Linked DNA regions of Tamandua tetradactyla. The protein of the gene in region 1 binds, or shares a complex with, the protein of each later gene. Links are inferred from orthologs where the notes say so. Each region holds a gene or a part of one and is shown in the gene's direction. Other genes may lie near its edges.

What was found.
Region 2: B9D2 (region 1) and TMEM67 share a complex: the UniProt entries of both Homo sapiens proteins name them as parts of the tectonic-like complex. The link is inferred for Tamandua tetradactyla from reciprocal best matches to the Homo sapiens genes B9D2 and TMEM67.
Region 3: B9D2 (region 1) and TMEM216 share a complex: the UniProt entries of both Homo sapiens proteins name them as parts of the tectonic-like complex. The link is inferred for Tamandua tetradactyla from reciprocal best matches to the Homo sapiens genes B9D2 and TMEM216.
Region 4: B9D2 (region 1) and TCTN1 share a complex: the UniProt entries of both Homo sapiens proteins name them as parts of the tectonic-like complex. The link is inferred for Tamandua tetradactyla from reciprocal best matches to the Homo sapiens genes B9D2 and TCTN1.

Annotation. Positions count from the first base shown.
Region 1 is NC_135342.1:22,440,777-22,448,754, forward strand, and holds the start of B9D2 (B9 domain-containing protein 2), read left to right. Parts: upstream 1-4,967; 5' UTR 4,968-5,030; coding exon 5,031-5,065; exon of another isoform or gene 5,066-5,146; intron 5,147-5,238; coding exon 5,239-5,330; intron 5,331-6,068; exon of another isoform or gene 6,069-6,254; intron 6,255-7,978. UniProt on the Homo sapiens protein: Component of the tectonic-like complex, a complex localized at the transition zone of primary cilia and acting as a barrier that prevents diffusion of transmembrane proteins between the cilia and plasma membranes.
Region 2 is NC_135332.1:137,076,613-137,084,310, forward strand, and holds the start of TMEM67 (meckelin), read left to right. Parts: upstream 1-4,698; 5' UTR 4,699-4,743; coding exon 4,744-4,969; intron 4,970-7,698. UniProt on the Homo sapiens protein: Required for ciliary structure and function. Part of the tectonic-like complex which is required for tissue-specific ciliogenesis and may regulate ciliary membrane composition.
Region 3 is NC_135335.1:13,744,558-13,751,703, reverse strand, and holds the start of TMEM216 (transmembrane protein 216), read left to right. Parts: upstream 1-4,126; 5' UTR 4,127-4,641; coding exon 4,642-4,744; exon of another isoform or gene 4,745-4,758; intron 4,759-4,820; exon of another isoform or gene 4,821-5,183; intron 5,184-5,304; coding exon 5,305-5,406; intron 5,407-5,942; coding exon 5,943-6,035; intron 6,036-7,146. UniProt on the Homo sapiens protein: Part of the tectonic-like complex which is required for tissue-specific ciliogenesis and may regulate ciliary membrane composition.
Region 4 is NC_135331.1:11,363,033-11,370,316, forward strand, and holds the start of TCTN1 (tectonic-1), read left to right. Parts: upstream 1-4,263; 5' UTR 4,264-4,321; coding exon 4,322-4,541; intron 4,542-7,284. UniProt on the Homo sapiens protein: Component of the tectonic-like complex, a complex localized at the transition zone of primary cilia and acting as a barrier that prevents diffusion of transmembrane proteins between the cilia and plasma membranes.

The DNA of each region.
Region 1 (7,978 bases):
TTTGTCATGGAAATGTAAGAGTGGAATATTAATACATTTCAGTTTAGTTCTGTAATGTCAGGAATTTTTCAAAAAAAAAATTAAAAGATGGACTGGAGCTTTTTCTTTGTGAATAGAAACTGGGAAAAAAAATAAATAAATAATAGGGGGAACAAATGTTACAACAAAATTAGTAGATTGAAATGCTAGTGATCAATGAAAGGGAGGGGTAAGGGTATGTTATCTATGATTTTTTTCTGTTTTTTTATTTCTTTTTCTGAATTGATGCAAATGTTCTAAGAAATGATCATGATGATGAATATACAACTATGTGATGATATTGTGAACTACTGATTATATATATAGAATAGAATGATCATATGGTAAGAATGTTTATGTTTGTATGTTGGTGTTCTAGTTTGCTAGCTGCCGGAATGCGATATACCAGAATCCCGCTGGCTTTTAAAAGGGGGAATTTAATGAGTTGCTAGTTTACAGTTCTAAGGCCGAGAAAATGCCCAATTAAAACAAGTCTATAGAAACGTCCAATCAAAGGCATCCAGGAAAAGACACCTTGATTCAAGAAGGCCGATGATATTCTCTCTCAGCTGGAAGGGCACATGGCGAGAAAGACGTCATGTGCTACTTTCTCTCCTGGCTTCCCGTTTCATGAAGCTCTCCGGGAGGCATTTTCCTTCTTCATCTCCAAAGGTCCCTGGCTTGTGGGCTCTCTGCTTCTCATGGCTATGTCGTTCTTCTCTGCTCTCTATGAATCTCCTTCTTTCTCCAAAATGTTTTTTCTTTTATAGGACTCCAGAAACTTATCAAAACCCACCCAAATGGGTGGAGGCATGTCGTCACTTAATTCAGTTTAACAACCACTCTTGACTAAATCACATCATCAAGGGAGATGATCTGATTACAGTTTCAAACGTTTAGTATCGAATAGGGATTATTCTACCTTAATGAAATGGGATTTTGATTAAAACATGGCTTTTCTGGGGGCATACATCCTTTCAAACCAGCACAGTTGGTATGCTTAATAAATAAAATTAATTAAAAAAAAAAGGGGGGCTTGACTAGTCATCAGCAAAGCACAATGCCACACCAACACACACCCATCAGAGGAAAAAGAGAGGCTCAGAGGAAAAAGAGAGAAATACCAACGGCTGGTGGAAGAGGGGAACCACGAAGGCACTGCCACTGGGAGAGCAAATTGGTTCAACCCCTTGGTAAACTGTTTGGCAGCTTCCTCTATAGCTGAACATGTCCTGTGATTCAGAAATTCCACTCCAACAGTTGTGGACCATGTCCACCAAAAGAGAAATTCCCACCAATGGTAGGATGCAGAACTAGTGGTGTCTTCACACAGTAGAAACGATACAGCAATGAAAAAGAAAGAGCTACAGCTACATGCAACAGTGTGGATGAATTTCATAAAAACACTGAGCAAAAGACTGCAGACACAAGGGAATATATACTGTGTGTGATTTCATTTATATAATGTACCAAAAAATAGGCAAAACTATTCCACATGAAAGGGACAGAGCCATCACTTAAATGCAAGCAGTTGACCTGTGGAGTCCATTTTCGTAATCACTAACCAAAACCAGTGGGGAAGAAATCAACTGAAAAAAAACACTTAAGAAAGGGCACTGACCCCAATCTTGGGGTTTGTTCATATGAAACTTAACCCCTCAAAGGATAGGCTAAGCCTACTTAAAATTAGACTTAAGGGTCACCCCCAAGTGAGCCTCTTTTGTTGCTCAGATGTGGCCTCTCTCTCCAACCAACACAGCAAGCAAACTCACCACCCTCCCCCTCTCTACATGGGACGTGACTCCCAGAGGGGTGTGGATCTTCCTGGCAACGTGGGACAGAAGTCCTAGAATGAGCTGAGACTCAGCATCAAGGGATTGAGAAAAACCCTAGAATGAGCTGAGACTTAGCATCAAGGGATTGAGAAAACTTTCTCCACCACAAGGGGAAGAGAGAAATGAGACAAAATAAAGTGTCGATGGCTGAGAGACTCCAAACAGAGTTGAGAGGTTATCCTGGAGAATTATTCTTACAGATAATATAGATATCATCTTTTTAGTTAAGGTGTAATGGAGAGGCTGGAGGGAACTGCCTGAAACTGTAGAGCTGTGTTCCAGTAGCCATGTTTCTTGAAGATGATTGTATAATGATATAGCTTTCACAGTGTGACTGTGATTGTGAAAGCCTTGTGTCTGATGTTTCTTTTATCTACCTCATGGACAGACGAGTAAAACACATGTAGTAAAAATAAATAAATAATAGGGGGAACAAATGTTGCAATAAAATTAGTAGATTGAAATGCTAGTGATCAATGAAAGGGAAGGGTAAGGGGTATGGTATGTATGAATTTTTTTCTGTTTTCTTTTTATTTCTTTTTCTGAATTGATGGAAATGTTCTAAGAAATGATCATGATGATGAATATGCAACTCTGTGATGATATTGAGAATTACTGATTATATATGTAGAATGGAATGATCCTGTGGGAAGAATGTTTGTGTTTGTATGATGGCATGTTTAATAACTAAAATAAAAAATTAAAATAAAAAAAGAAAGGGCACTGATAGGACTTAATGAACAGTTAGATAGTGGAAGTTATGAAGTGGGGGGTGACCTCCAAGCACAACCTTCAGACTCCTTCGATACCTGTGTGTATCAAGACAGGCAGGATAACAGGTAAATTAACTTAAGGTTTAAGGACAGAGATAGAAAAGAACTATGATCAATTTGGCTAAAGGCAAACGATTTTGTCATAATTTCTTCATATTAAATGGGGCCTATAATATCACCTACCGGGTGGATATCTATGAGGATTAAAGCAGATAATGCATGTAATAGGGTCAGTTCAGAGGCTGGCACAGAGGCAGAACTCATTAAATGGTAGCTTTTTTTTTTTTTTTTCCTTACATGGGCAGGCACTGAGAATCAAACCCGGGTCCTCGGGCATGGCAGGCAAGCACTCTTACCTGCTAAGCCACCGTGGCCCGTCCATGGTAGCTTTTAAATACATCTATTAATGAGATAATCCTGTTCAGTTATTTTATGTCTATATAAATGTTATATTGAAATGTTGCCCCATCATTTCGTGTTGGTGAGTCTAACTTTTGAAGTTCCTGTTTTGCTAAAAATACGGAATCAGTTCTCACTGGAGTCCTGGATCGGGTGGACATAGAAACTGGGGATGGGAAAGGCACTGCGCAGGAATTCAGGTGAACACGGTTGACTCTAGCCCACCCTCCCTGCACCCTTTGCATTGATGAGATAATTGAGACTAGACCCGGGTGGGGTCACAGGAGACCTTATTGGCGGAGTCCAATCTTTAAAAACGAGATTTTTGCAGATAAACAGTGGCTCTGTTTCTCATTTCTCATTTATTCACCCTGGTCTTGTTCGATACCAGCAATATGGGGGAAGAGGGACTATTTCTGAAAAGGAAGTTGAACTTATCCGTCCTTAAGCGGCAGGGGGTAACCTCTAAAAATGGAAGGAAATCCTCCTCCCCAACTTCTGGAGTTTCTCCGAATGGGGAAGGACTTCTTTCCAGTTATGAGGCAGAGGGATGCACACAATGACCTGGAGGGCATGTCCCCCTTGACCTTATCTCAAGTCTCTGGTCTGTGGTCCTGGACGGAAGAGAGTGTTTCTTTGGGGGGTGGGGGGTGGGGGCACTGAACATGGACTGATGCACTTATTTTGTTAAGAGAGTATCTGGGTGCAAATATCCCAAGAAATGATCATGATGATGAATATGCAACTATGTGATGATATTGTGAATTACTGATTATATATGTAGAATGGAATGATCAAAATAGAATACTTGCGCTTGTTTGGTGTTCTTTGGTATTTAAAAAGATAAAATTAAAAAATTTAAAAAAAAAAAGAGAGTATCCGGGCCCTCTTACAGGCAATCCCAACCTCCCAGGAGGCAACCAGTGCAGTTATTTTATCACTGTAAAGAAGGTTTGTCAGTTCTGGAACTTCCTGTAAGTGGAATCATACGGTAAATATTCTTTTACGTTGGACATTTTCTACCATGTATAAAATTTCTGAGGTTCACACATGTTTTGTATATGTCGGTAGTTTTTCTTTTCATTGCTGAGTAGTATTTCATTGTAAGAGTATAACAATTCTTTTAAAATCTATTCTTTTATGGAATTTTGAGTTATTTCTAGTTTGGGGGCCATTTACAAAGCTGGAGTAAACATTTTTGTACAAATCTATTGTGAGCACGTGCTTTCATTTCTCTTGACTAAATAGCTCTAGAATGGAATTATTGGTGATAAGTTGGGCATATATTTATATTTATAAGAAACGACCAGTTTTCCAAATGGTTGAACACTTTTTACTCTCTAATCAGCTAAGAGAGAGAGAGAATATCTGGATAAAACAATTGGAGCGCAAACTTCCTCAGCCACACTCAAGATGGCAGCCGTCCATTCGAGCCCAAGTGTCTGAGAGGAAGGAGAGACGCAGTTTTCCCCAACCGGAACGAGACGGGAGGAGAAAACAGTCAATCACATCCTTACCCCGCCCCCTAAGGACGCCAGCACCAATTAGCGACGCGCAGGGCGGATCTAAGCCTGGGAGGAGCAGGCTGCTGTTGCCCAGCAACAACCAGGGAACCCGGAGGCTGGCGCCGCCGCGGAAAGGCCGCCGCCTCAGCTCTCTCGCTGCCGGAAGGAGCCTGGAGAGGCGGAAGACAGGCCTGAGAAATCAGCGCCCGCTAAGAGAGGGACAGGTTAGCGCCATGGACTGCAATACCCGCTGACACTTTCGCACCCCCTAAACGTTATGTGCGCCGAGTTCGGAACGACGCATGCGCTGCTCTGAGAGGTGGGGCTAAGGCGGTCCTGCGCCCAGAAATGCAGAAACGACGCATGCGCCTCCTGGAGCGCGGGGCCGATCCATGCAAGGGGCGGGGCTTTGCCCCATGTGGGCGGGGTCTTACGCTCCTGGGGCGGGGCTTTCCGCTGTACTGAGCCGGAGGAAAGTATTTTGGGGTGGGACAGTTAAAATGCCAGCTTCTCCGCCCAGCCTGCCTATCTTTCGGTGACTCTTCTGGGGTGACAGTAAGGGTGTGGTTAAATACACAAGCCCGCAGGGGGTTGACGAATCTGGCCTGGAACCTTGGTACTGCCACGTACTTGTCGGACCCCAGTTTCCTCAACTATCATGTGGAGATAATGCACTACCTCACTGTGCTTCTAATTCTCTCCTCTCAGGGCCATGGCCGAGGTGCACGTGATCGGGCAGATCAAGGGGGCCACTGGCTTCTCGGAAAGTAGCCTCTTCTGCAAGTGGGGCGTCCATACAGGTATTCTGGTCCCGGTTCATTTCTTCACCCAGACCCCCAGCCCAGAGGCTCGGCTTTCCTTCCTGATCCTCATCTTCCATCTGCCCTCCGAGTCTGCGCCCAAAGCCCAGTCACCATCCTCATGAGTCTCAGGCTGTCTCAGTAGCTGAGGGCTCTGGCTCTTACCCTCGGAACACACAACCTCTTAAGCATATGGCACTGTAGGCTGTACCCCTCCACTTCCAATCCTCAAAACACTACGCAGCCCGAACTCTGTTTGGACTTCACTCCCTGGCTTAGGGGTGCCCTTAGACTCTCCCTCATCTTAATAATTCTTTGATTAACAAATTGCTGCTATCTTTACAGTTCTTAGTGTAAAGTAGATGTTTCTACCCCATATTTACAGAGGAGAGCTGACCCCCTGGTGTTTATAATTCTCCGTGAAGGTAGCCCACCATTCTGGCAGTCATTCAAGTCTGTCCACAGAGGCAGGCCCAGCAAGGCTCCCAACCCCCCAATTTTCCCACCTTCCCATCGGAGGCAGTATGTGTAGGGGTTAGGGCCACCAGCTCTGGGTTCAAGTACTAATTCCCCCATCAATTAATTGGGGACCATTGGGCTTTCCCTTTCCCAGCCTCAGTTTCTTAAGATAAAAAGCAGCTAAGAGGAGTCACCATGTTGAGGTCAAGAGCATAGACTGCGTTGGTTCAAAAACAGTTGCTACTTCTTAATTATGTGACCTTGCCTCAGTTTCCTTACCTGTACGACAGGAATGATAACAACCTATACATCATGGAGCTGTTGTGAGGACTAAATGAATAGCAATAGCACTTAGCACGTGGTCTGGCAAGCAGGGTTTGCCTGGCTCATATTAGAATTTGAACGGGTCTTGTTTGTAAGGCACCAGGTAAATGACCATGCAATGAGTGTGGCTGTGGCTGTCACTTTCCCTGCAGGCCCCAGGTCCTCTGTGACCTCACTGGTGGGTGGTGTGGTATTGAGATTCCCTGGAAGTTCAGAGTAGATAAGAGGCAGCCTGTAGAGACAGCCCTAGTTTCCAGTCTGGGCCCCACCATTCATCTGCTTTCTGACCCTGGGCAGGTGCTGTCCCCTCTCAGAGCCTCAGTTTCCTCATCTGTAAAGTGGGAGTGGCATTCACCCTCCATAGGTTACTGGGAGAGCTGGTATGTGAAAAGCCTGACTCAGGGCCTGATGCTTTGCTCAGCCAGCCTTGAAGGGAGCAACGACTAACATAATTTGCTAATCTGGGGAGTTGTTGGGGATTGGGGCGGGGGATGGGGGTTAGTCCTGAGGAGAACTCAGGGGCAGTCAGATCAAAGGCTTGGGCTCCATGGTCAGACAGAGCTGAGTTTACTGTGGGACCTTGGTCTGCTGTGGTCACCACTATGCCCCAAGCAGCACCTGGCACACAGCAGGTGTGTAATACATGTTACTGGAATGAATGGTCAAGTGACTTTCCTTCTCAGAGCCTGTTTCTTTACCTATAAAAGAGTATTATATTAGCACTCACCTCATAGGATTTTTCATTTACCCAACAAACTTTTATTGAGAGCCTTCTGTGTGTTGGGTTTGAGATCCTGGGAATAGGCCAGTGAACAAAGTCCCTGCTTTTCCAGTGTTCACAGTAGGGGAGACTGAAAATAAAACTAGCAGATAAAGAAATGAGTGCAATGATTGCAATAGTGGTCAATGCTAGGAAGACAAGAAATGGGATGAAAATGTTAAAATAAATTTAGTTTGAAATGCTAGTGATCAGTGAAAGGGAGGAGAAGGGGTATGGTGTGTATTGTTTTTGTTTTTTTTTTCTGTTTTCGTTTTATTTTTATGTTGTCTTTTTATTTCTTTTTCTGAATTAATGCAAATGTTCTAAGAAATGATCATGATGATGAATAGGCAACTATGTGATGATACTGTGAATTACTGATTATATATGTAGAATGGAATGATCACATATTAAAAAAAAAGTGGGATGATGTGGAAGAGACAAGTTTTTGGATAGCAGGGCTATGGAGAGCCCCTCTGGAAATGGCACTTGAGCTGAGGCCTGAAGGATGAAAAAGAGGTAGCCATAGGGAGAGCCAGGAGTGGCAATTTCTGGGCAGTAAGTGCAAAGGCCCTGAGGTGGGAATGAGCACGGCACACTGGGGAACAGAAATAGGACCAGTGAGGCTGTAAGTTGGGGAGGGGGAAAAGCGATGGGAGCTGAGGATGGGGGTGGGGGAGGGCTTTGAGAGCTGGGGGATGGGGTGGAATGGGTGGGGATTAAGAATCCTAGAGGGTGGCTTAAATGAAGTCATTACCTAAAGTGCTTCATACAGTATCTGGCATGTAGTGAGCACCCAGTATGCTTTTGCTATTGTTATCACCCCTCAACAGAATTGCTATTCTTCCACTGTGCCCCCATAGATGATACCCTCAGCCCCATCTTAGTCTTTGCACTAGGATTTTTAATGTGGGGGTGGGAATAGTGATAAAATATCAAACCCTTACCCAGCACTCACTATTTCCCAGGTGCCGTTCTAGGGGCTTTTTCTGTATTAACTCTGATTCTCTCAAAGAACGATGAGGAAAGTATTATTCTTACACCCATTTTACAGATGAGAGACTGAGGCAGAGAAAGTTATCTCACCCAAGGTTGCAAAGGCAGG
Region 2 (7,698 bases), on another chromosome or scaffold:
CCTTTTTTGTATTCCTCTTCACCCTGGATCTCAATACCTACTTGCTGTTGAATGCCAAGGACATAAGAATAAGATTTCTGCCCTACTCACTTAGGCAATGCTACCCCATGGGTTTCAAAATAGACCCCATATCTTTAAGGATGGTTTAGCAGCAGACCTTACTAACCTCCAGTTGCCTCAAAGCACAGTCTGACATATTCCTAGCATGAAAGTGGATCTTATTTGAAGTTAGTTCTGACTACAAGCCCTAGATGGATATAGAAAGTTATAGAAAGTTTGTGAAAGTATATTTTGTTTGTCGTAGGGCATTGCTATCAGTCCTGGATGGATATGGAAAGATGCAGAAGGTTTAAGCAAGTGAATTTTGTCGTCATTGCTGACTACAAACCCTGGATGGATGTAGAAAGTTGTAAAAATTTTCTCAAAATGAAAATTTAAGAAAGTAGGTTTTGTTTATAATCACTGCTGACTATAAGCCCTATGTATAAAGAGTTATAGAGGGCTTTTAAAAATATGTCTTGTCATAATTAATGCTGCTCCCTTAACCATCTGAATATTCTATCTATATGTTTATACTAACCTTATCATCCTTTATTTCAAAAGATAAGTTTTCTTACTTTTAAAAGAACTGTTGCAAAAGATTTGTTGTTTCACCTTGTGAAACTGAGGGGTTAAAATCATATTAAATATAATAACTAAGAGAGATTTTCTATCCTTTTGTTAAGTAAATTTATGTAAGTTAAATGTTATTCATATATTTACAATTTTATAAGATTCCTAAAAACTTAACAATGTTCTCACTGTCCATGTTTTATCCTGATACTGATTTGCATGATAGGAAAATTTATAGATCATTAAAAACAACTTAATTCAGCTTTATTCAACATGGAACCTAGAATAAAGAATAAAATCTTAATCATAAAATTAAAAAAAATATTTGCAAAGTCCCTTAAAGGACTAGAGAAAAATGTGAAGCTATTTAACTTCCCCACTTAGGGAATTCTTGCTATTCTCCTATGCAATAAGGGACCTGTATTTAATAAGCCAAGCCCTTGATCTTGAGGCTTTCCCTTATTTGATTTATTTCTATAATAGCAAAGTTAAGCCTTCTTATAACTAATGCCTATAACTCATCCCCAGAGATCCTCTTTTATTGCTCAGATGTAGTATCTCTCTTTAAGCCAAATTCTGCAAATAAACTCACTACCTTCTCCCTTACATGGCACATGACTTCCAGGGGTGTAAGTCTTCCTAGTAACATGAGGCAACACTTCTAAAGAAAGTCTGACCCTGTGTTATAGAATTAATTGACCAAAAAAAGAAAAATGAAATTCCAGGGGCTAAGAAATTTCAAATAGAGATGAGAAGTCATTCTAGACATTTTTATTATACAAATTTCAGCCAGAAATTGCAAACTGCCACATTAGGACAAGCCCCAATCAATAATTTTCCTAAAAACTCTAAATACTCTGAGCTCCATCTTGCTCCTGCTTCTGTTCAGACCATGTATACAATTTCTCACCCAGTTTGTTTCTTCCATATTAAAAGCCTTTCACAACAAAGTTTTCCTCACCAGAGGCTGCATGCCTGTTCCCCACACTCAACCAGCCACTCTCAATAGCATAGCCAGAGACTTTTATGCTAACACAAGTAGGGCCTGTAACCCCACTGACAGCTTGAAGCAGCTATAAAAGATGGACCATTGGCCCAAATTCTCTTAAGGGAGCTAGGAAACCTCTGAGGGGGAAATGAGGTAGGGTTAGAATTAGGGTGGTAACTGGCTAAGCACAGGGAAAACTCTAAAAAGCAGTCAGGCTTCAAGGTGGAAGATATCTCTGAGAAGAACAGCAATAAGTAGCACCTGGAGCCATATGACCTCTACCTGAGTAAGTCATTTACAGAGAAGGGTGGAGTCAACCACCCAAATGCACCACCCTGGAGAGAAGGGAGGGTAGGAGAAAGAGGCCTAAACAAAGAAGGGGAAGGGGGAGTAAGTAAAGCTAACCTATAAAAGTAGATTGCCTCACATTGTGGGGGCCTCTCGCCTCTCACCCCTCTTTTTTTGTAAAAGTGTCTGCATTCTCCTTGCCTGCATGTACTCAATTTTCTGCCTGCTTAACTCTTTGGGCTGTGCCCTTGAATTGTTTCTTGCGGCATGGCCAAGAACCTAGGAAGCCGAATCTGGCAACTGTGATTTAGCTAATCACAATTTAGGATCAAATGAGATATTACACTGCCTGGGTCATAGAAAACCAGCAATTACTATCATTTATTTTCGTTATCATCATGGTTCCTGCTACAACTAACATTTTAAATAATTCTCATATCTTTAGTTGCAACCTGTTTTTATTTTTTCTGTAATCTATTCAAATAATGTTTTCTCAAGAAACATTGATCTACCCCAGGCATCTTCTATCTTCCCTTAGTTTCACAACCATCAACAAAGCCAACTAAATCAGAAGCTTGGGAGTTATGCTGGACTATTTCTGTTTCTTTATTTCCTATATCCAAGCTATAAAGTTCTCATGATTCTTCCACTTCAATAGCTCTTTCATTCATCCTCTCCTACCTCTCTCTTCTTTCATTGCCCTAATTTAGATTCTGGATTTCTGCTTTAGCAGTCCAATTGGTCTGTAACTCTAGAGTTTTCTATGTACTTTGTCTCAGGATTACATTTTCTAAATTGCAAATCTGATCAGGTTATTCCTTAGCTTAAAGTTTTAACAAGCTTCAAACCACAGTAGGCAAATATAGGCATTCAAGAGCTTTCATTTTCATTCCTGCCTACCTTTCCAACCTCATCTCCTGTCACAGCCCATATATATTCTGCACCTCAGGGACATACAGGTACATGTTTTCCTCCTGTGTGCCTGCTCTCTTATACCTCCTCAGGGCCAGGCTGCCTCTAAGCCCATGACTTGAGATCCTACACAAAGGGTGATGCTGATGCTGTGGGACGCTGGCCTTTCTGCTGAGATGCAGGGTGCTGTTGGGCTCCTGCCTCTGAGGGAATGGCACCTGGGTCTAATGGGCTACCAGCTTCTGCTGCTGGCCTTTGAGGAACTAGAGTCACAGAAAGACCTGCCCCAGCTGAGGAGGAACCTGAGATGGAAGCTCCAGGCCTTGGGCTCCGCTGGGGGCCTGAAGGGCGGTGAGGGGACACACATCAGGATCAGGGTGGTCCCCCCATGAGGTATGGGCAGTTTGTACTTTGGCTCCCTCTGCTTGTTTTGGTTTCTTATTAAAGTCCTTTCCTCCTCACCCACACTCCCAAATCTACAATATCTCTTCCCCTGTTATCCCTTGCACACCCTATGCAGGGTTAATCCCAACCTCCATTTTAATAAATGGAGGAGCTCTTCTATGGCTTTAATTATACAGAAGACAAGGAGTAAATATTAGTGCCCTAATCACTTCCACAAAGCATATAAGAATATATACTTCATCAAGGAAGACTAGATTTGAAACCCACCCATAGCAAACGTTTGCAAATTAATCCCAACTATTTTGACCATACCCTACCTGAGTCCCCATTAATATTTACATGGCCAAATATTTTTTAAGTTGTATTCAGATAACTGATTTCCACTTCAAATTAGACACTTCAAATAACCCAGTAATTACTCAAAAATATATTTAGACTTCTTTAGAAACAGCTTTTCAAAACACATGCCTGCTATGTCATAGGGATTAGTGAGTGGGTGAATGCTGGTCTTTTGGGAAAGGCCACATTGAGGAAAAGTAGGCCTAATGGTGGTTAATGATTAAAGTTATTAACTTTCCTAGATGTATTTTCCACATGAACTAAGAATCCTTAACTAGTGACAAATCATCATTTTTATTATTATGAAATTGTTTTTTAAGCCCAAAGTCATTTCTAGGTACTATTGATAGATGAAGCAGCTTAAAAATATGCCAGGTGATTTGATTGGAGGAGAGAGACAAAATATAACTGTCAAATTAGAAGCAACAAAAACAAAAATGAGATTTAAATATAAGGAGATTAGTTTTTCTTTTGCTATCCATAAATTGGCTCTGAAAGTAATTCCAAAATGTTTTGAGGTTAACAGCCTCCAAGGATGACTGCTTTGAAAGACAACATTCATATATGTGTACATTTGATTTTTTTTAAATAGGTTTCTCCTTTATTTATTAACAAGTGGTGTAAAAAAGATGATCTTATTTTATTTACATGGTTTCCTATTCTTCAAACAAGGGAAGTAGAAAAACGTCTGGCAGGAAAGATTTTTTCTTAGTGCTTGAGCCATAGCAATGCTCCAACATTGCATACTTTTAAAATGTTATCCACAGAACCAAATACACGTTGGAATATCTTCTTTGACGTGAAATTTGCTTAGTGTGGATACATTCTGATGGAAATATTTAACAACATTATCGGAAAACAATACTTCCCCTTAATTTATGTAATGCAATCAGATATTATCATTCTCGTTCTATTTCCGACCCCCTAAATCGAATGAGTCGCTTCTCAGAGTTTGAAACAACATACTTTATTATAAGACTTGCGAGCCCTTCAGGCTCTAGGGGGAGTCTGATTTTAACCCAAGGTTTTCCACACCCGCCGGCTATGTTTGGTAACCTAGCAACCAGGCTCCGAAACGAATCCAAAATGCGAGGCGGGGATGGGGGAGGTGTGACGGGGAAGTTGTCCAATCAGCATCGCGGATTCGTCGCAGAGACCGATGGGGTGCAGAGGGGTAGACTGCTTCAGGTATCGGCACCATGGCGACGGGCGGCTGTGGGGCTGGGTTGGCAATGGCGGTTTGGTCCGCTTTGTCTTCGCCCACTGTGACTGCGTTTCTCCTTTTGGTCCTTCCGCGCGTCTTGCAAGCCCAGACCTTCTCTTTCCCCTTCCGGCAGCCGGATACTTGCGGCCACAATCAGTACTTCGATATCTCCGCGCTTTCCTGTGTCCCGTGTGGAGCCAATCAGAGGCGGGACGTCCGAGGTGAGACCTTTTGGGATGAGTTCCGGCAAAAGTAACCCTTCCTCCTTGGTGCTGTCCTTAATCCCGGCGTCGCTGAAACGCCTATTTTTTTAATCGGCGGGAAGAATATATCAGAAAAGTTAACCGCCGACGACTGAGGGGACTGTTTCCTTGGAGGATTGCTAATGAATTTGGGGAACCCGGAGTCCGCTACCCCGGGAACAGTTCTGGTTCTTCAATTTTCGGCACTAATGCCTCTCCCCTCATCCGGAGGTCTTTAGATAGCACCTGGAAAGCAGCCGAGAGAGAAAAAAAGAATAGAGAAGGTGAGACGCAGAGGAGTAGATGACAAGAAGGTTTGACAGGAGATACACATTTTGCAATTGTAATCTTTGACTGCCGTTTATCTTACTTTTCAAATCCCAGAATTTAGGGCTGGGAGGGATTGTGACTATGATCAGATCCAGTTTCCCCGTTTTACAGATAAGTAAATTGAAGATCTTCTGAAGAGGTTGTAATATCTTCTTTGCAACCTAAATTGAAGAAGTGAAGAACTCGTGTCTATTTGTCCTCAGTCTGAAACTACATATTTCCACCATACAGTGTGTCCTTAATTTAAATTTCATTAGGACTTAGCCCTTTGTATTGTTGAGTAATACTAGTTGCTCTTTAATATTTCTTTAGATTAAGCTAATTCATTTTTTGTCTCCTTACTTCCATCATTTGTCTTAGTTTGCCTCATGGACACTGTTCCATAAATCTCCCATATTCTAAATTCTCAAATATTTTATCTTGATTTGGTTATCCATGTGTATTGGTTTGCTAAAGCTGCTAGAATAAAATATAACAGAAATTGAACAGCTTTTATAAAGGGAATTTATTAACTTACAAGTCTACAATTCCAAGGCCATGAAAATGTACAAACTAAGGTGTCTTGAGAAATATACCTTGCCTCAAGAAGGGTGGATGGGTCCAAAACACCTCTGTAGGCTGGGAAGGAATGTGGTTGGATCTGTTGGGCTCTCTGGCTTCTGGTTTCAAACAGCTTCCCCAGGTGGCATTTTCTTTCCGTATCTCCAAACATCTGGGTCTCATGTTGGCTCTCACATAACTGTGTTGTCTCTGAAGCAGCTGTTGTCCAAGCTCAGCATCTGAGCTTTCTCTAAAATGTTTCCCCTTTTAAGGGACTGTTGTAAATTAATCAACACCCACCTTGAAAGGGCAGAGTCACATCTCCATCCAATCAAAAGGCCACACCCACAATTGAGGGGGTCAGTCTTCATGGTAACAATCTAACCAAAGGTTTACAATATTGAATCAGGATTAAAGGACATGGCTTTTCTGGGGTACACACTTTAAAACAAGCACACCATGGTACTAAGATGGTACTTCTGTCATCTTCAAATTTGATATATTTTCACTTGGATTATTGAACAAGACAGGTCAGGACACTCAAGTAAGGAAGTGTGAATGAGAAAACATTGAAGAGACTCTAAAGGTGTAAGGCATTAGCTTATAATTACAAATCCAGATATTGCATGCATTGTACTACAGAGACTCCTATGGGTGCTGTTTTCACTTACTGCCCTTATAGGATGCTACACCTACCTATTCAGCAAGTTGAGTAGTGTTTATAATGTTCACTATGTATCCAAGTTGAGGGAAACAGTGATTCCGTGAATTTTTTGAATCAAGGTAATTCATTCAATCTATGTATATGGATGGGTGACATGGAAATGTAAAGTTACCCACAGAAGTTTATCAATAATCTTATTTATAGTTTAATTATGCTGGTGCTTAAATTGGTAGCAAACATAATACCCACTGTGTGCTCAACCCTGTTAAAACCCTTTACATCTAATAACTAGTTTAATACTCATTCTGACCCTTTGAGGTAGGTACTAATACTACCCCATTTTGCCAAAGAAGCAGCTGAGGCACAAAGAAATTAAGTAGCAGCACTAAAATTATAACCTAAGGAGTATGTTTCTGGACTTGAACCCATGCAGTATTGGTTCCAGTGGCCTCGGTCTTTTTTTTTTGCTTGGAAGGAAAGGAACTAATGTCTTTTTTTAAAAATTTATTTATTTTTTATTTATGATCCATAACCACATACAAAGACAAGCATTCTTATCATATGATCATTCTGTTCTTGTTATATAGTCAATAACTCACACTATCTTCACATAGTTGTATATTCATCATTATGATCATTTTTAGAACATCTGCATCAATTCAGAAAAAGCAATAAAAAGAAAACAAAAAAATATTCATACATACCATACCCTTTACCCCTCCCCTTCACCGATCACCAGCATTTCAATCTACTAAATTTATTTTAACATTTTTCCCCTTATTATTTATTTATTTTTAATCCATGTGTTTTACTTGTCCGTCAATAAGGTAGACAAAAGGAGCATCAGACACAAGGCTCTCACAACCACAGTCACACTGCGACAGCCATATCATCATACAATTATCTTCAAGAAACATGGCCACCAGAGCACAGCTCCACATTTCCAGGATGTTCCCTCCAGTCTCTCCATTTCACCTTAACTAAACAGGTGATATCTATTTGATGCTTAAGAATAACCTCCAGGATAACCTCTCGACTCTGTTTGGAATCTCTCAGCCACTGACACTTTATTTTGTCTCTTTTCACTCTTCCCTCATTTGGTGGAGAAGATTTTCTCAATCCCTTGATGCTGAGTTCCAGCTCATTCTAGGATTTCTGTCCCACGTTGCCAGGA
Region 3 (7,146 bases), on another chromosome or scaffold:
GTAGCCCTAATGCTGTTCCTTTATCTACTGTAGCAAATAGATGGAGAGGTTTCTCGAGGGAGGGGAGAGTTAGGACAGGAGCCTTCATCAGTGCCCGTCTGAGCCCTTCTGCAGCTCCTACTCCCCCCTCCCTCCACTCTAATTTGTCAGGCTCTTCCTCTAACAGTTTTTGGTATAACCCTTTAGTTGGAGAGGCTGAAGAATCTACCTACAACCTACAGTACACCACTAATCCTAAGAACTTCCTTAGTTCCCTCTTTGTCCAGGGAAGAGGCGATCTAATTATGGCCTGAATTCTCTCTGGATTTACTTTCCTTTTTTCCCTTCACTTACGAGATGGCCTAAGTATTTAACTTCCCTTTTCACAACCTGTAGTTTTATTTTTTGATACCCTTAGTTCTTGGCCCCCCAGGAAGCTCAACAGGTCCCCTGCAGCCTGGGCAATGCCCTAGCTTTTCTTTACCCGATATTAACAGATCATTTACATACTGTAAAAGGGTAATTTCAGATGGGATAGAAAACCTTCCCAACACTTTTTCTAGTTCCTTCCCAAAGAGATTGGGGGACTCTGTGAAGCCCTGGGGTAGGACCATCCACCTATATTGCTGCCTCCTTCTAGTGAAGGGATTTTCCCATTCAAAGGCGAACAAGTCCCTACTCTCTGGGGTAAGAGGGCAGACCCAAAAGGCACCCTTCGGATCTACTACACTGAACCACTTATGATGGTAGGGAATCCATCATAGGAGCATATAAGGGTTAGGGACCACGGGGTGTCTAACCTGAACAATTTGATTGATGGCTCTCAGGTCCTGAACCACCCTCCAGCTACCAGCTGCTTTCTGGGTGGGAAGAACGGGATTACTGAAAGGGGACATTCAGTTTCCCAGAGCCCATCTCGAAGGAGACCTTCGATGACTGGATGATGTCCTTGTCTCCCCTTCAATGGGATGGGAGACTCTTTTTGACAAACCACCTCCCCTTCCTTTTACATTTTAATTTTTATAGAGGAAACGTGCAACTCCCCCACTTCCCTCCCTCACCCATACTTTTTCTTGGATGCCTTTCTTATCTTTCTCGGTAAGCAAGGCTTAAGACAACTTCTACTTGGCCATCCCTCACCTCCAGGTCCAGTCCCATGGGTATTATCAGATCTCTTCCCAATAAATTACTCCCAGCTTCTGAACAGGGAACTTATAATTTGGTTCCCTTCTCAACAGATATTAGTAGGTTTGAAAATGGGGACTTGAAACCTTTCGCCTTTTACTCCCCAAACCGTGACAGAGCTACCAGAGAATTCAATCCCCTTTGGGATGTGGTGCACGGAAGATGGAGCTGCCACAGTGTCTACCAAAAATGTAATTGCTTCTTGAATATAGACCCACCTTCAGATTTACCAAAGTCTCCTGGTGGGCTCTTGAGGCAAGGGGCCTCTGACCTCCCCAATCTTCAAAATTCATCAGGGGTCTCACCCCGACCTTCTTTCTTTAAACTCAACCACTCCCCTTTAACATGTTATCCCACAGTGATACACAGAACTGCTGTGTCCCGGGCCCTCCTCTCTCCTTTATTTCCTCTAGCTCCAACTCTCTATCTTGCCTGTGCCTGTCTCCTCCCTGCTTTATCTCTAATCTCTTCTTGACCATGTGGTCATCATGTGCTTATCATGACTTTAGCTTTCTGCTTATCTTTTGTCTTCCTATCTCACAAATACTTTCTGGGATTCTCCAGATTACTCTTCCAGTGGTTTATCCATCTATTTTCTAGATCTTTTTCTATCAGGCCAAGATCCCTTCACAGCTGACCTTTAATATTCCTCGGGCCACACGACTATTAGGGTCCATTCCTGAGTATTTCTTTGCCTGGTCTCTCAACCTTTGTAGGTAAGCAGAAGGAGTCTCATCATTTTCTTGGGCCACCTCAAAGGCCTTATTTAAGTTCTGAGATTTGGGTATTAACAACTATACCCCTTGTATAATGAGGTCTCTAAGATTTCTCATTTGTACCCTGTCTTCCTCATCATTATTATCCCAGTTGGAATCTACATTAGGGAACTGCTGCTCTGCTGCCATCATCCCTTGTCCAGGTGGGGGCTGCCTCTCTCATTTTTCCATAGATGCCCTCCTCACCTGTGCCCTTTCTTCCCCCATGAGGATGTAAATGCAGACCAGGTGTATAAGCTGGGCCCTAAAAATTGATCCAGTTGTTCACCTAGCCCTACTGGATCATCCAGTAACGATTTCATTTCTTTTCTTAAAGTTCCTCATTTCTGTACTGGTCAAGGGGACACTGACATAACCAGTTTCCCCTGGTCCAATAGGAACTTCTCTAAGAGGGAATATCGACTTATAAGGCCTATGCTACCTCACCCTTTTACCCTCAGGAGCCCTCGGAAATGGAAAATTCCATCTTTCTTACGTTGTTCCACCTCCTTCCTCAATGGTTGGTGGACTGTCACAGGTGGAACAGTTGGCCCTGATTGCCCCTCCCGCTCCCTGAGGCAGGTGGGGGTGGGGAATGCATGTTAGTCTTCTTGGGCCTTCAGGGTCCAACAGTCCCTGTCCTGGGGGAGGAGCACAGGGCAGGAAAGACTCAATAAAGGATCCCAGGCTTTAGCTTCTAAAGATTTAGCCTCTGACTCTGCTACCTTTACAGGATAAAGAGGACTCTCCCTTCCCTTTAGCCAACACTTGGCATAATCCGAGTCATCTTTCGAGAAAGGGTTCTTATTAGCATAAAGCACGAGGTTTGTACAAATCCAACCCTCATCTGCCCCGTATTTTGGCCAGAATATATCGGACAGCACAACGCTTTCTTTGGTCATAATATAACAACAATATTTAACCATTTCCTTTTTGTCCTTCCCCTTTGTTCCATAATTATCAGCCCAATATTTTAACATTCTCCCTAATGGACTGTCCAGGGGAATGTCCCCTGAACGTCTACCAGCACCCCCTCCCTTTCTTCTCCAGGTAAGCCGCCTGCCTCTATTCCCCATCCTGTGTCTTGCCAAGGTCCCTTTCTCTCATCCCTGTTTCACTTTCACCGTCTCCAGCCCCCTTTTCCTCACGGTGGTTTGGGACCCGGCACATGTTTGGGCGTCTCAGATACACACACACACACACACACACACACATACACACACACACACTCCACCTCAGACTCATCAGGATCCTTCCTGACCACCCAGGCAATACTTAACAGCCGATTTCTTACCTTGGTCCGTGCACAGAGTTGCTTGCTTACTGTGAGGCAGCCCCTCCTCTTTCTCGTTCACAGTCGGTGGCTCGAAGCATCCCGGCTGTCGGCAGCTGGCCCCCAGTGACAGAGTTTAAGACCGCTCAATCAGCGGGGTGCGCCTTCCCTTCCTCCTGGGGGTGGGTGGGTGCTCCTGCGAAGCCTGGGATCCCGGAAGGGCCCCCAAAGTTGTCAGAACGAACGCCGTACCTGAAGGAGAACAAACGCTCATCCGATTGCGGAGGAGAAGACAATTTATTCACCATCTTGCAAGAACGGGCGCCTAGAGGAACACACAAGGGGGGCTGGAGCCAAACCACAGAAGCTGAAAGTTATTCCTGTGCCGGACCCGCAGTCCCTCCCGTTTCTCGGCTGATCGGCTACCCCAGAGGTTACAGCCTATCCGGATAATCTAACTACTGTGAACTTCCCGCCGCAGGTTCCCCCTTTGTTTACGTTTTACCTTTTCAATGACCCTGGCCATTAAGGATTCGGCCTTGCGTCAGAAGCCCTCCCCTTTCCCTGCCTGCGTCACCTTTGTGAGAGCTAAGCTTAGTTTGATTCTCACAGGTTGGAGCAAATCAGAGCCTGCGAGGTGGAGGAGAGGAGTACAGGGCTGCATACTGCACCACCCACCCTCCAAACTGTCACAGCTCTTCTGGGCAGGCCTGCTTCTTACACATTACTCTCTCCAGGCTTCCAAGGCCCCCTTCCCTTTAAGCCCTGGAGAAATAACAATTACTGCCTCTTTTCACCCAGGGATCAACAGCAGCTCCCCACCCCCACCCCCGCCCCTACACACACACACACACACACACACACACACACACACCAGCCAGGACTCCAGTACTGTTCCTTGAAGATTAGCCACTCTCTTCAAATCGCTGTTTCGACTCTGCCATGTGTCCTCAAGGACCCTGACAACGGAGTCACAGTCAAGTCAGCCTGCGTCCGCTCAAAGCTCTTTCTCTTTCCACTCCCCTGCCCCAAATCGGAACCAGGCTTCAAAACCCAAGAAGCTCTCCTTCCGATTCCTTTCAGTGTCCCTGACTACCTGGTACGTAAACGTGCCGCACAAAAGACCAAGGCTAAACCCCAGCAGGCGTTTGCTGAGCAGCATGGGGCACCCCGACTCCGTCCCCGGGCGGTTGTTAGGAAAGAGAACCGCGGGGCTAGGATCTGTCTGCCAATTCTCTGGATCCATTGTCACAACTGGCCCCTCCTGCCCAAAGCGCAGCAACGCAGGGCGACAGCGTCGCGGGAGGCCAATGCTCGCCAGCCCCCACGAACTGCGCTCTCTGCCAGCAGCACCTGCAGCCACGGCTCCTCCCGGCGCACGCGCAGACGGCACCCAGGGCGGCTCCGCCCGGGGCAGCCATAGAGTACGGCGAGCGGGCAGAAAGGCCAATGCGGGCCGCTCCATCCTCCGCTTCCCGCGGCGCCTCGCTGCTCCCGGAGCGGAGACTGCCGCGTATGCAGTTTCCATGGGGACGGAAGATGGCGCCGCGAGGTGAGGTTCCGGAGGTGTGTGAGTCGCTGGCCCCCCGTCTCCCCCCACTCCGACCTCCCTTCTCTCCCAGAGCTCGACCTAAACACTCCGCTGTCAGGTGGTGAAGACATTGCTCCTCACATGTCCAAAGCGGGGTTTTGTAGCCTCACCCACCTTGAGAGCCCGAAGGTCTCGAGGTGCGGTCTCAGACACCCCCAAATCCTTGGCTGGCTTTGTTCCAGGCCGGCTCGGTTAGGAATGCGCCGCGTGACCTTGAACAGGCCAGTGTCGAATAGTGATGGGATGAGATCTTAGCGGCGCCTGTCGGCTGGGATACCCTCTGAGCTTCCTCTTGGCTTTCACCTCCGAACCCGAAAGACAGAGTTGGGTTTGGCGGTTGATTCCGAGGAGAAATGGGGAGGGAAGGAAGACCCCTCACAACCCAACAGCCTTTCCCCCCAGCAGCGACCTCGGGTTTTCCCAAGTTAGACACCGAACGGTGCAGGGAAAGGAGATTGAACTCCCCCCACACCCCCCCCCCCCCCCCCGCCCAACCCTTTTGTCTGTGTCCATCTTTTCAGGTAAACGGTTGTCCTCCACGCCCCTGGAAATCCTGTTTTTTCTGAACGGGTGGTATTATGCTACCTATTTCCTGCTGGAACTCTTCATATTTCTCTATAAAGGTAAGGCTTGGGGCTTGACTAACCGTGCTCCAATATCCCTTCCCCACTTCACCCCAGAGCCTATTTCCATTCTTTTCTGCCTCTTGTAGCTTCTCTTCACTGCAAGGCAGAAGTCTCTTCATTAGATAGTTTCCTGGAGAATAAGTAGGAAGACTCTCAGTAAGAATTTCTTGAGTTTAGGAAATGAATTAGTCTCCATTTTGACTCGCCCATCACTTTTCTTTGTTCAATTCAGTCTAAGGCCATTGGTGACCCTCAGAAACTATTTAGTGGCCTGTGTGCCTACGTTTGTCAGATCATGTGGATGTGTCCACAGGTTTTTGGAATTAAGAATAAAACCCCATAATAATGGGCCTCCCTCTAACAAACATAGTCACACTATGAGTTAACTTATCCCACAGCTGTAATAGCGTCTACATTCTCACTAACTAGTTTTTGGAAAGCTGATAAGACTCATCTCTTTCTTCCCAAGTGTGTGGGAGTCCTTGTGGGTGCTGTTATGTGTTGTTTGCAAACCATGTCTTTCTTATTGGCAGGTCTCCTATTGCCATATCCAACAGCCAACCTCATACTGGATGTGGTGATGCTTTTCCTTTATCTTGGAATTGAAGTCATTCGACTCTTTTTTGGTGAGTATTATTCAGAGAATATTTCCATTCTTTATGAGATAAGTTGGTATCTGTAACTTGATTAACAAGAAAAAGTACATAACCCAGGCTCACAATCAGATTCGATTTGTGGGATATGCCCTTACTGCTTCTGAAGTTTCAAGCTGCCTTATATTTTGGATCAAGATTTGCCTGTCTGTTGCTCTGTAAGGGCTAGTGGTGGGCAGCAGTATGGGAGCTTAGATAATTCCTTCCCAGCTGCCTAACTGCTCTAAGAGTTCCGGGTTCCTCTGAATGGTTTGCTTTGGGAGACTGGTTTTCACTGTAACTCTGAGTCCAGGCAGTAGATGCCTTCACAGATCAGCACTCAATAAGATCCCCTCTACTTCTCTGAATAAGGATCTCTTTAGGGTAAGTTTTTTTTTGTTTTTTTGTCTTTTTGTTCCTGACATTTTATTCAGCATACTGTCCTTAAGGGTCATCCACTTAGTTGTCCACCTCAGAACCATAGCTCCCCCTTCCATTCCTCAGTATTTTTACCCTTAGGCCACCTCCATCCATTGCGAATCGCCAACACTCCGCCATAAACACCAGTAAATGTCCATTTGTGTCCACACTCTCAGTTCCTCCTGTCAACGGGGTTGCAAGATCATATGGCAACCCCACCTCTTTAGGACACGTTTTTATATCCCCAGAAATACTGAGAAAGTCCCTTTTTAGTTAGAATATCCCATCTCTGAATACGATGCCAAATCACAGATTGAGAAAAAAATACTTGCAACACATAGGACAAACAAGATAAAAAAGGCTCATATAAATTATTAAGGAAAAGAATTTAATAATAAAAAGCAAACTAAAACAACAAAGTAACATTTTCACTCATAGATTGGTAAAGATTAAATTATGATACCCAGTATTAGAGAAGGTGTGGGGAACAGGTATTTTTATATACTCTAGGTGGATATGATATGTAAAATTCATATCCTTAGACCCAACAATTTCACTTTCAAAACTGATTAAAAAAATTTCCATAAATCTATGGAAATATTTTAATCTATACAGGAGTGTTTATTGCCTCATGCTCTGTAACATTAAGCGTTAGAAGCAGTATAAAGGCCCATCAATACAAGAT
Region 4 (7,284 bases), on another chromosome or scaffold:
TTTCCCTAATCTTAACATTGTGCATAAATGCAATAGATGAAACAATATTACTATAATTATACTATTAACTATAACCAATAGTTTAATTAAAGTTTAACTCTGAGTTGTACAGTTTTATGTCTTCTTTTTGATAACTTATATTCAACCTAAAATTTCCTTTTTTTGTTCACTTTTGAATATATAATTCAGCAGTGTTAACTACATTCACAAAGTTGTGCCTCCACCCCCATCATTCATTGCCAAAACTTTTCCAACACCCCAAACAGAAACCCCGTACCAATTAAACACTAACTTCCCATTCCCCACCAGGCTCCTGGTAGCCTGTCTTCTAGTTTCTGACTTTATGAATTTGCATATTGTTTTCATATAAATGAGGTCAGACAGTATCTGTCCCTTTATGTCTGACTTATTTCACTCAACTTGATGTTTTCAAGGTTCATCCATGGTGTAGTATGTATCAGAACTTCATTTTTTACAGCAAAGTAATATTCCATTTTATGTATATACCACATTGCATTGTGTTTATCCATTCATGTATAGACGGACACTTGATGTTGCTTCCACCTCTTGGCAATTATGAAAAATGTCACTATGAACACCGATGTGCAAATATCTGCTCAAGTCCTTTCCCTCAATTCTTTGGGGTATATACCTAGAGGTGGGATTACTGGGTCAGAGTAATGCTATACGGAACTCTCTAAGGAATTGCCAAATTGTTTTCTACAGCAGCTACGCTATTTTACATTGCCACCAACAATGTACAAGGGTTCTTACTTCTCCGCATCTTCTCCAATACTTGTTATTTTCTGTTTTTTTAAGTAGTAGCCATTCCAGTGGGTGTGAAATGGTACTTGTGATTTTGATTTACATTTCCCTGATGGTTGATGACAATGAGCATCTCTTCATTTGCTTTTTGGTCATTTATATATCTTCTTTGGAGAAATGTCTGTTCAAGTCTTTTGTACATTAAACACAGTTGTCTTTTTGTTGTTGAGTTGTACGAGTTCTTTATATATTCTATATAAAGAATATATAGAATATTCAATACTTTCTCCCATTCTGTAGGTCATCATTTTACTTTCCTGATAAAATACTTTGATGTGCAAATGTTTTTAACTTCGATTAGGTTCCATTCATCTATTTTTTATTTTGTTGCCCATGTTTTTGGTGTAAAGTCAGATGGACATTTTTAATCACAAACATTTATATACAATCCAAATGCTGTGCAGCTGGATAAAATATGGGAAAATAACTTAGCCTCTCCTGTTATTTTCACATCATAATGATAAAGCCTGGGTAAAAGGAAGGGAGAAGGGGGCATTGTGAGAAAGATGAAAAAACCCAGATTCAAGAGGGTGTAACCTGACAGAAATGGATAATCCGTGAAATGAAAAGTTCGTTCCAATTTCCCTAAGGTTTACAAAATGTATCTGAGTTAACTTAACCTTCATTTTGACTTTGTAAGATGTCATAGATTGTTTTTAGGTCATCTACTGAGTGTTTGAGATTGGACAGAAAGAGGTGATGAGATTAGTTACCAAATCATGCAGCAGGTCTCAGTTGGAATCATGGAATATTTTACTTGAAGAGAATCTCAAAGGTCATATAATCATAAAGACAAAAATGTTAAAGTCATAGGGCACTTTATCAAATTCAATCAAACAGCCTAAAATTTCAAAACAGAAAATAGGACTAAGTGATTCACAGATATTAGAAATAAAAAGAAAATAGAGGTCTAGAAGAAAAGACTTCTTTCCCTTTTAAAAAAAAAAAATTAAAAAGTCCTGGACTTAGAAGTTATGTGATGAGAAGTTTCAAACTGTGTTGAAAAATACCGTTTTTTTTTTTTTTTTAAAGGAAGCATTTCATCAGTTATTAAAAACGGTCTAGAATTTCAGTCGGATGCTGGTCTAGTTTGCAGGTTGCCAGAATGTGATACCAGAAACGAAATCACTTTTAAAAAGGGGAATTTAATACGTTGCAAGTTTACAGTCCTAAAGCTGTGAAAATGTCCAAATTAAGGTACCAACAAGAGTTACCTTCATTCAAGAAAGGCCGATGAAGTTCGGGGTTTCTCTCTCAGTTGGAAGGGCACATGGTGACATCTGCTAGCTTTCTCTCCCAGCTTCTTGCTTCATGAGACCCCCCCAGGGGGTGTTTTCCTTTTTCATCTCCAAAGGTCTCTGGTTATGCAGACTCAGTCAGTTCTGGTGACTCCATTGATTCTGGTGGCTCTAAAGATTCTTCCAAAATGGTTTCCTCTTAAAGGGCTCTGGTAAGCAAACCCCACCCTGAATGAGTGGAAACGCATCTCCATGGAAACTATCTAATCAAAAGTTACCACCCACACTTGGGTGGGCCACATCTCCATGGAAACAATAATAAAAAAGATATCATTCAGCAATACTGAATGAGGATTAAAGGACATGGCTTTTCTAGGGTACACAACAGATTCAAAATGGCACAGATACTAAGGCAATAGTTGGCAGAAAAAAATTGGAAATATTTGTATTATAGATTTGAATGATCCAATGATATTTTATGTTTTTTTAAATTATATTTTTATTCACTTTCTCTGGAATGCCACAGGAAGGCCCTAACAATGTCACTTTGATAATTTAGCTTTGCTATATAAATTAAATATACCAGTATATATACTATTTCGGCATTCTTCTGAATGGGTAAACTGTGTTTCTTGAATAAATATCAGGATGTGTATAAGTATTTTCACATCTACATCTGAAATACAAGGAGAGTGTCAAAGGTATACCCACCATTCACAGGTTCAGGTACTTCTTTATAAATAATCCAGTTTACAACAGAAGGGCATCCTAATGTAATTGAAAAGTTAGGATTGAGAAATGATTATGATTACCAAATCATTATATAGATATTTCTTTTTACTTTCTAGTATATTAGAATAGACAGAGGAAATACCTGAAATTACTAATCCAGGTGTCTTATCTCTGATAATATTGTATAATGACAGTCTTTATCTTGTGATTATAAAATCCTTGTGACTGACTCTCACAACTGTGAGAGCTGTATCCCATTTTTCAACTTCAGAGTCTTATGATCACTAAAGACAGCCCCTAGTGTTTATGAATGAAGGGTCCTGAGTCAGCCCAGAACTAACCCATTCCAATTCCAAAGCTATGTTGATAGAGGAAGCTGGCTCTCACCAAAATGGGCCCGCCTGACATGTGCAGTAGCTTAGACTTCAACCTATTCATGACCTATACCTCATTATAATATTAAAAATCATGCCCCTCATCATATTAAGACCGCCATTTTGCTGACATACCTTCTTGACTAAGGATGTAATCAACCTGCACATGCTCAATAATTAGATTATCTCTAATTTTGTCATCTTGAGTCATTGTGCTTATTATCCTAAAACCTGACCATCCTTTGGGACCATAAAACCTTCAGAATTATTGCAATTCAGGAGACAGATTTTTAGCTAGGCCATGAGATCATCTATTTCGCACCTAACAATAATTTTTCTCTCTTTGAAATACCTCCCCCACCCCCCTACCCCCCACTCCCACCCCCGTCTCAGGAATTTATCATTTCAGCGCCTGGGGCAGAGAACCCACCACTTTTGACCGATATCACTAAGTCTTGTGTTCTCCTTACCATTTTGTAGAGTTATAGTAGATTGGGTTTGTTTTTTGTTTGTTTTTCTTTTAAGACTTAGAGATCAACCTACTCAAAAAAAAAAATCACCCTACTTAATTTTTGTCAGGTGTTTTTTTTCCGTCTGTGAAAATGTTGTGTTTATTTTCCCCTGTTACCACAAAAAGGTGGACAAACATTATTTGCGGACCCCTCTCGGGAAGCACCAAAACGACGGTGACGTGATCCTCACGCACCCCTTCAAAAGACCCGTATGTCGTCTCGTCAGAAATGCGGCTCCCAAATCTCCGCCCGCACACCGGCTGCGTCAAGACCTTTATTAAAAATACTGACTCTTGGCTGCCACTCTCTAGACCTACTGAATCAGAATCCCCTGGGCTGGAAATCCGCATATTTTAAATAGGCGCTAAGGTGGGGTTAGGAAACCATAACTAAACTTACAAGTGCCTTGTCTGGGCGGCTTCGCTCCGCCTCTGGGCCCCGCCCTGCGGACCCCACCCTTCCTCATCCCGGCTACCGTGGGCCTCGCCCCGCCCCCGCCCCTCCCTCGCCCCGCCCCAGCAGGTCTCCCGCCACCCTAGCTGCTTCACAGGCCCTTTCCCGTCATGCTCCGCGCCTGGCCCCTGCCGTTGCCAAGCAACGCGTGGGCCGCAGCGTCGGCCGCGGGGGGTTCAGCTGGGTGATGGGGCCGCGAGGCCTCTGGCCGCTCCTCCTCGTACTCCTGGGCTGCTGGGCCCCCGAGAGCGCCCGGGCCGGGGCCACCCCGGCGGTGACGACGGAGGTCCCCACCCTCACCCGGGCAGCTCCAGCGATCCTCGGAGCCTCTCGGTCGCCTGAGCCCATCGACACTCCCAGGGTTCCGGATCCCTCCTCCCGCTCCAGGCCCACCCCAGTCACGGATGGTGGGTACCTCGAGCCAATTCTTTGGGGTCCGGAGTGTTCCAGCTAGAAGGAGGTAACCTAGGGAAGAATGTAATAATACCAATGATAGCTAACTTTTATTGAACACTTACGTGTGCCAGATACTGCTCAGTGTTTTATAGGCATTGTTTAACATTTCCAACAACACTGATCCCCGTTTTATAAATAGGCTCGGAGAGCATAAGTGCGGAAAATCATATTTTTGAAAGTTCTTGCGGTGATACCGGACAAATTAATGCTCAAAGTAACACTGAGTGAGGCCGTGTAGCCAAAGATGAAATTTCATCAAGAAGATGCATTTAACTTTTTACTTACGTGAAAGAGAGATGCCGAAGGTTTAGCTTACTAAATGTGAAGTCGAGACCCTTGTCTGTTAATTTTTTTTTTTTTCAGAAAGTAGGTTTTTGTTCTTCCGTGGCCATTGGGCTTAGCCTCTGAAAGTCTGAGCCGGGAACAAAAGTTTAACATCAGATTTTATAGACAGGATGACACGTTAATGTCTCTTGATTTTTAATATGAAAACCCAGTTGGATGCAGGAAGATATGGGGTGAGGGGTTATGCCCCCTTCTTAGAAGTCATATTTAGGGATAGTTAGCATATATCTCAGAAAGCGACCCTCTAACCTGGGAGTTACACATTTAGTGAATATTTTATAATCTGATTTTCCACAGATGACTTCAGGGAGTGTCTATGACCTCCTGAAATTGAGTGCACAATTTTGCGACTGCATTTTTCTGGGGTGAGGGCCATAGTGGTCAGCAGATTCTCAAAGGGGTTTGTGATCTCAAAATGATAAAAATGTAAATCCTGTGTGCGGATTGGGAGTAACTGCAGTAGGTGTGCAATATATATATATATATCCTGTCTTAAGAGAAAAAGATTTTTACTTAAATAGGGTAAGACTTAATAACTAGAAAAGTCATCATTGACTGATGACTTTGAAGCGTAGGACTTAACTTTGGTTCCTGAACCATTATTTCTCCAGAAGCCCTCCTTTGATTATGAGTAGTATGTAAGAAAAAGTACAGTGAAATCCATTTGTTATTTGAATATATACACACAAAACTTTTGTATTTAAACAATTGATTTGATGAGTTAGTAAGGAAGTTAAATCAGTGATAAATTGAGACAGAAGACAGCAGACTAGTGAATGTCTGAAGTTCTCTAAAGCTTTTGGAACTGTGTTTTTTATGTAAGTAATCCATTTGCTAATGAATCTTGTCCCCAAGAAACTATTCTTGAATTATCATTAGTAGTGTTTGTATTCAGAACTGTTTTCCAGATGGAGGATGAATTTGTACTGATCTTCACCTTTTTAAAGGACCCCTCTTTACCTATCATTACTTGTGATGGTAATGATAACTTTCATTTATTAACTCTTTTTTCTTACATGGGCAGGCACCAGGAATCGAACCCGGGTCCTCTGGCATGGCAGGCAAGCATTCTTGCCTGCTGAGCCACCGTGGCCTGCCCCATTTATTAACTTTTATTAAGTGGCAGGCACTGTGCTAAGTATTTCACCTCCCATGTATCTCGTTTAATCCGCATAAAAACCCTGTGATGGGGATACTGTTACCCTCATTTTTTAGGTAGTTCAATTACTTGGTTAATTTAAGGTCATATGACTGGTAAGTGGTTGAGCAGGAAGGAAGTTGACCCACTATAGAGAACTGGACAGCTATTTGCAGAATGGGTCACAGGCAGTATTGGTGGAAGAGAAGAGTGGTAACTGTTCATCTTGAATCAGCTTGGTTCATTTGTACCCATTTGTCCTCTGCTCTACAAGCCAGGCTTGTAGATGTTAAGTGGTGTGTAAGAGCAGCCAAGTGCTGCTTAGACCCAGAGAGTCGTCAACAGATCCTTGTTGGCTGATTAAGTGCACTCACATCCTAGAGGGAGACACTTTTTTTCCTAAGTGGGATTGTTAATACTTCTCCTTTCTCTTTAGTAGTCCTGTAGCTCTTTTCCTTTTAAGTTTTGGAAAATAAAGCAGGATTATAATTTTAAATTCATAAGGCAGGGAAGCTGCATGTTCTTATTTACATTGGTTTGCACATCATTTTACAAAGCTAGAGAGAAGCACATAAATTTAAGGGGGAGAACTTTTGTGCCTTGGACTAGGAAAGGATTGTATTTATTGACAAAACATGGCACTTCCCCTCAATCACACATTTTTTTTTCCCATTGTGCCTTTTTGGGGACTGTTTTGTTTTTTTTTTTTAACTTTTTTTATTAATTAAAAAAATTAACAAACAAAACATTTAGATATCATTCCATTCTACATATACAATCAGTAATTCTTAATATCATCACATAGTTGCATATTCATCATTTCTTAGTACATTTGCATCGATTTAGAAAAAGAAATAAAAAGACAACAGAAAAAGAAATAAAATGATAATAGAGAAAAAAAAGACTATACATACCAAACCTCTTACCCCTCGCTTTCATTTACCACCATTTCAAACTGAATTTAACATTTGTTCCCCCTATTATTTATTTTTATGCCATATGTTCTACTCTTCTGTTGATATAGTAGCTAAAAGGAGCATCAGACATAAAGTTTTCACATTCACAGAGTCTCATTGTGAAAGCTATATCATTGTTCAATCATCATTAAGAAACATGACTACTGGAACACAGCACTACATTTTCAGGCAATTCCCTCCAGCCTCTCCACTACATCTTGAACAACAAGGTGATATCTACTTGATACGTAAGAA